Solanum lycopersicum: one gene and its partner. The main gene of each other region encodes a partner of the protein of the gene in region 2 in a complex. Links are inferred from orthologs where the notes say so. Each region holds a gene or a part of one and is shown on either strand. Other genes may lie near its edges.

Region 1 (3,731 bases), on a different chromosome or scaffold from region 2:
TTGCTCATAGGATCAGTTATGACTTTTGAACATAAAGTGCTTGTGCTGTTCATGGTAACTACTCGCCTAGTTGTGCCATTGTTATCGCACATGCTCTCTTCACCACCCTGTATATCCAGATGAAAGCAACAAATTGTGTATATTTGCATGGAATTTATCTCAAAAGATGCTCTTAAGCATTGTATGTTGCCTCAAAACCCATTTCTTCTTGGGTCTGCATAAAATTAATGAAAAGAGCGTTGTTTTTTCTGATATATATAGCTTTATAGAGTAGCCTCTGCTTGTCATCCCTTCAGACGATTCTCAATAACCATCAGAACTTTTACATCATAGATCTCTCATTTACTAGTATTAGTTTGCGTTATTGGACAAAGACGTTTCCAAGTGCAGTGACAAGTGAGAACTTCTGTTTTCAAAGTTATTATACAGTACAACTAAATATTAGACTGAGATAAGGTTAAATGGAGCGACATGGATACTGAGCATTTGTGTAGCAATCAAGATGTAGTTGTAAGCTAAAGCGTATTTACTAATACTGCTACACTCAAAGCGTCATAATACTCTGTTGCAACAATTCCAGAGGTCTCCAAAGCCTACTGAATGAGTTCATCAGGGTTAACACAATTAACTAAAAAGCCACTTTACAAGATTGGAGATATATTTCCTAACAAAAATCGATTATAAACATAAATACTCGAGAATATAAGGTACACATAGCAGACACAAACATACAGCCTGTTTGTATATGTTGGTATGCTTAAGATCTAAATAAAGCTAACAGTGCAGTAGCTCATACTGCGATAAAAGTAAATCTCTGTGCCTAGAAAACACAAATGTAAATTTGCCAGATCTTCTCATAAGATGGCGAGGGAGGGAGGCGGTAAAGGTGGTTTACAAATATCATTCCAAAGTATTTCTTCTACATCGTTACAACATGACTTCATACATCAAACATCAACTTTAGCGGCTTACTAAGGCACATAAGATCTTCTGTTTCTCTCTGCTGATCACCAGACTCTGTAGTTACCTGAAAACAGTCACAACTAATAGTTCTTTGTTTTACAGCGATGAAAACAGAATAAAACGAAACCAATTTTTTTTTTCTAGTTTCCATTTGTCTGTCAGAAGTGTTGGGTCAAACTCAGCTTAATAAGTAAGGATAGTACATAATTGATCATAAAAAAAGAAGTTGGGTCAAACTTAGCTTAATAAGTAAGGATAGTATTCTTCATAAATAAAGTAAGGATAGTACATATAACATAATTGCTGCAGAAACTAGTGGTTACTCACAGTTATTCGTTCTGATGGAAGAGAACATATGATGCCACTAAAAAGCAGTTTTGTTAGCTTCTACTACTTTTCTATCAACCTGGAAATTTATACAAGACCAGCGGTTTTGTAATAGCAGCTCTTATATATGAATCAGTTTCAGTTCCAAGGGAATGTTCACTTATTTGCTTCATCATCAAGTCTAGGATACAAAGCCTATCACTAATAGTTCATTAAATAATACAAATTTGTTTCCAGATTATTTAACATAGTCAACGGAAACGACAAGGACAGGAAGTATCAGCGAGATTTCAGTATACCTATTGAGCTGCATCTTCAGAAAATCTGGCATCAAATGGAGCAGAAGGATTGGGATGTACTGCTGAAGCACTATTCGCTCCAGAACCATGTTGCAGTTCTATCACTAGCCATCTTACAGCTTTACTCATCTGCTCCAACCTAACAGCACTAATGGGTTGAAGGCCACTTGCAGCTGGTTGCCCAGGCTTCCCTGAAACAGTGCCTGTAGCCTCATCCACAAGACACTCGGAGCCAATTCTTTGCTTAACCGATTCCACAAACTCCTCCGCCTGATCACACGCAACCCTGAACAACTCCCACTTTTGCTTAAAGTTTTCTAATGCAGCATCAGTTGCTGCTGTTTTCTGACCATTAGAACTCTCCTTTGATTCAAGTACAACAGCTGATGCTGCAACAAAGTCTTGATATGCACTGCTCAGTGCATCTACGAGATTATCCATCACAACCCCTCGAAGCCCTAATTGATCACTAACCTCCGTAAATCTATAAAGGAGAGAATAAATTAGCAAGAACATCATTAAAAATTTAATCTTTGTATCAAGACCATCATTAAAAATTGAATCTTTATAGCAACAACATCATTAAAATTGAATCTTTAGCAAGACCATCACTAAAAATTGAATCTTTGTAGTAATTTCATCATTAAAAATTGAATCTTTGTACAACAATTAAAGAGCTATTATGCTATCAAATTCTGCATACAAAAACAAACCCAAGAAACAATTTTCTATGATTACCCAAAACACTCAAAAGCAAGAAATCAACTGAAACAAAATTGATGCAATACACAAATTTCTTGAAAATACTCAAATAAATTTAAGCAAATGAAAAGAAGAAAAACCACAAAGACTAGGGTTTTTCTACTTACTTGACTGAAGGAAGAAAATGGCTTCCACAATCTTCTCCTCTGTCTTTTTTTGGTTTTTTTCTCTTCTCCCCTCACTCTGTTTCGAAATAATTACATATTCCTCCCCAATAGTTTTCATTTGTAACACAAAGCTTCCCTTTAGTTTCAAAATTAATATTTTAGAGTGTAAGATTTTTAAAATATATTTGAATAAAATCATAATTGAGTAATAATTGTTTGAGTTTCTAATAATTATTTATATATATACGAGTGCTATTTTATTGGACTAAAGGAGTAGTATTATTTATGTATCTTAATTTTTATTTTATTTGTATTTTCATCATTAGTATTATATATTAAGTGTTCTATGTACATTAAAATGAGACATATATTTTTTTTCATTTGTTAGTGTTATATATTATTGATGAGTAATTATATTATATGTGATGAATAAAATTAATTTTACATTAATGTTTAAATTAAATATTTTGTTTAATTGCTCAAACTTGTCAAATTCATCGGTGACCTCCTAAACTTGCTATCGATTTTCACTTAGAACACCTAAATTAGGCGATGTTCATTTTAGACACCTCGTGTAGGGTTCTGTTGTGTCATTTTGGCACTTTTTGCTGACATGTCAAAGTGAGTGTGATACACTTAACAATAGCGCGTGAAAGACTTAATTTAGCCATTTTTAATTTTATTTTATCTTCTTCTTCTCCAAGCCACCACCCCCTTTTTTTTCGAATTTAAATTCCTTCAATGGAGGTCAAATTTTTTATTCAAATTCGTTGTTAAGTCATTTTCTTCTTCATCATTGTATTACTTATCTAAGTCTATCTTCACCTCACTCTATTTTTTGCCGGAAAAATGGATACCAACACCCATATTTCATGTTTATTCTCTCCCTCCTTTCTTTTTTTAAAGAAAAACAATACTAAAAAGAAGAATAAATATGAAAAATAGTAAAAGAAAATAATATTTTTTTGTAAAGCACAAAAGAGATTTGAGTGTAATGAAATAAGAAATTTTCGTAGAATAATATTTTAAATTTTTTTACTAAATAGATTTTATAATTATTTTTAACTGAAAATAATACATGTAATTATTTAATTGATTGTTTGCCACGTCATCAACGAGTGTATTACACATTTACACTCTCCTTTAGTTTTTTATTTATTGTCAGAAAAGTATCAAAATGACACAGTTGAACCTTACATGGGGTGTTTAAAATGAACATCGCCTGATTGAGGTATCTAAGTGAAAATTGGTGCCAAGTTTAGGGGCCATCGAT
Region 2 (2,705 bases):
GATTATTTTCTTGGTCCTTGTTGCAGGTGTTTGATTTGGTTAACCGTGAAGCATTTAATCCAGCTTTGGGTGCTGACGTGACAGGAATACAAGAAAACTTGTTACGTTTAAGTATAGGTCAAAGAGCTTCTCTGTCCATTTCACTTGTACCATCTGCTGACGATGGTCAGACAGCTAATGCTGTGGGTGATGAACATCCAGAAACTGCTATTGTGCCTTTTGAATCAGTTGATGCTTCAAAACAAGATGAAGGGAAACTTGACTTGAAAAAGTTGGGGTTTCCCAATCGAATTAGTTTTGAAATTTATTTGCAACAACTTTTTCATGAACATGTGTTTATAAAAGCCAAAAATAGATTATCATCTTTGGGCAAACCTGAAATATCTTCTCAACCTGTGAAAGATGGTCCCAACCTTTTGGGACATTTCTGCGTCTCTCTAGCTCATAGGATCTTCTCAAACAAAGTCCTCGCAGAGCTCGAAAGTCTGGTATGAACTTTTCTGTCTGGGTTTGTAAACTGCTAGCTAATGTAGCCATTATGTATCTGAAGAATTCCTTGTTTTGTCTGTAGGTTAGCAGGGTACCATATGTCCAATTAATATCGCATCCCACTTGGCATTCTCGAACATCATCATGGACGCTTTCCATGGATGTACCCGAGTCAATTCTCCATGCAGGAAGCCTGTCTCACTCATCTGACTATGTAAAGAATGTGAAATTTCACTTTCGTACAAAAGTCATGGTGCGTGATGATTGCATCAGTCTGGAAGGGGAAGGTGCTCCTAATATTGTTGGCCTCTTCAAAGGAAAGCCTGATAGTATTTGCCCTATGAACAGATATGATTGTGACTTGTCAGATCTTCCGATGGTTCTATTGCAGCAGGTCTGTGTCCTCATCCTCTTTACTATTGTGTTTTGATATGAAAATGGGTGACCATACTATGAAGAATCGTTCATTTTCTGGCCGGATAAACTTCTATTCATCCTAGAGCTGGTACTTCCTTAAAAAAGAAAGCCTATGATCCTAGACTTTTTTTATTTTTCCTGTGATTCAGTTGAACCATCCAAACTCTTTGAGTCTTTTTCTGTTGTATTGCGTGGGGTGATTTATGTGATACGAGTAGCATAGAAGGTTTTCAAACTGTTTGTGTTGCTGCCTAGGATAATTTGCTATCTTGTGGTCGGGGACCAAACTTCTGGTGGATAGCTGTGGTCATGATGGTGAGGGAGAATGTTGTTTTGTTACCATAGAAACAAATGTGAAGCCCCAGCCTCAGTCCTCACCCACCTCCAAATCACTGCTTTAGTTAGGCGCCTGTCACGAGTTTGAATCTTGTCGCAGAGTATAGAGGGGCAAACCTATTATCCTTTAGATTTCAAACCTTTTGCCAGTTGGCACTGGGGGATTGGGGAGACAAGGGAACATAATGTTCCGCACCATCATAGGGAATCTCAAAGCCCCAAGCTCCATTTTCTCAGTTATCACAGAAAGGGAAAAGCAAAAGCATCACATTTGTACCCTTCCTTTCGATAAACAAATCAATATACAATCTACGTTGGAAATCAATGTCACTTCCAATCTTGCAGCAACCTTATGTCAAGCTATTAATTTCTTCTTCAGGTTGCCAGCCAGGTGATACGATGGCTTCATGAAGAAGCCCTTATGGTTGGTATCAAAGCAAACCGGGATTTCTTATCCTTGTCATTTGAGCTAGAGCAAGGAGAAACACTCAGTCTCGTGGCACACGTAGACCCTGAAGATATTCAAGGATGTATTTCCTGGTGGTTGGTGATGGGCGATGGATTCTCTGAAGAAAACAAACTTCAAATGGACGTTAACAGTGGTGAATCCGAAACTAGGAAATTCTTAGGTTATTTATCTTTAGAAGTGTTATACTCAACCTTAATGGATATGGTTAGCGTTAGTAGTACTGCAGGCCATTGATTTGTCTCTACGTATCTGTATTTTTTTTTCTTCGTTTCTTCGAAGAATATTTATCTTGTACAAATTATGTAGCTGAGAATATCATACATCCAATAGCTCATAAGCTAAATCATTGTGGATTCAATTTTTTTTTAAAAAAGTAAATTGTTTGTTGGATTTATTCCATCATTTGGAGAAACTATAGGTTCTTGTGTATACACTTCTCCTCTAAGCAATGTCTATGTACATCTTAACATCTCCGAATTTAACTTGTACGATTTTTTAAAATTATACTGGGTATGTTATTGTTGTTGTTGTCCTACATTTCTTGGAAACCTACTTCATTGATACATTTGCAACTAAAAACAATATTTGTTGAGAAGAAATATTTTCAAAGTTTCTATTTTCAAGTAAAGTTTTTGTAGTTTAAATCATCAAAACATATAGAAAGAAACCTCTTATTTGTGGCTATGAAGAGTCGAGTGTGCATTTTAAATTATTAATTAGGTCACTTTAGTCTTGTCTTAATCCAAATTCATCATTCATTAAGACTTACCAATAAGAGATAAACCAAACAATTTGATCACAATAAATAACATAAACAATTTTTGACAAGACTAATAAACCACTAATAAGAGAAGCTTCATCAAACATGAACCCCACTAAAAAGGAAATATTTAACTTATACCCATTTGTAGTTATTATCATTATATTTATCCAAGTATACAAAGAATTTTTATATATTCAAGCTTTGTTTAACAATAATCTTTTAAATTAAGAT

What was found. Proteins that work in one complex are often made in the same cells at the same time.
Region 1: mediator of RNA polymerase II transcription subunit 17 (region 2) and mediator of RNA polymerase II transcription subunit 32 share a complex: the UniProt entries of both Arabidopsis thaliana proteins name them as parts of the mediator complex. The link is inferred for Solanum lycopersicum from reciprocal best matches to the Arabidopsis thaliana genes AT5G20170 and MED32.

Annotation. Positions count from the first base shown.
Region 1 is NC_090807.1:64,223,120-64,226,850, forward strand, and holds mediator of RNA polymerase II transcription subunit 32, read right to left. Parts: upstream 2,605-3,731; 5' UTR 2,459-2,604; intron 2,457-2,458; exon of another isoform or gene 2,328-2,456; intron 2,074-2,327; 5' UTR 2,031-2,073; coding exon 1,590-2,030; intron 1,044-1,589; exon of another isoform or gene 1,028-1,043; 3' UTR 661-1,027; downstream 1-660. UniProt on the Arabidopsis thaliana protein: Component of the Mediator complex, a coactivator involved in the regulated transcription of nearly all RNA polymerase II-dependent genes.
Region 2 is NC_090811.1:1,518,012-1,520,716, forward strand, and holds the end of mediator of RNA polymerase II transcription subunit 17, read left to right. Parts: intron 1-26; coding exon 27-488; intron 489-571; coding exon 572-883; intron 884-1,621; coding exon 1,622-1,945; 3' UTR 1,946-2,123; downstream 2,124-2,705. UniProt on the Arabidopsis thaliana protein: Component of the Mediator complex, a coactivator involved in the regulated transcription of nearly all RNA polymerase II-dependent genes.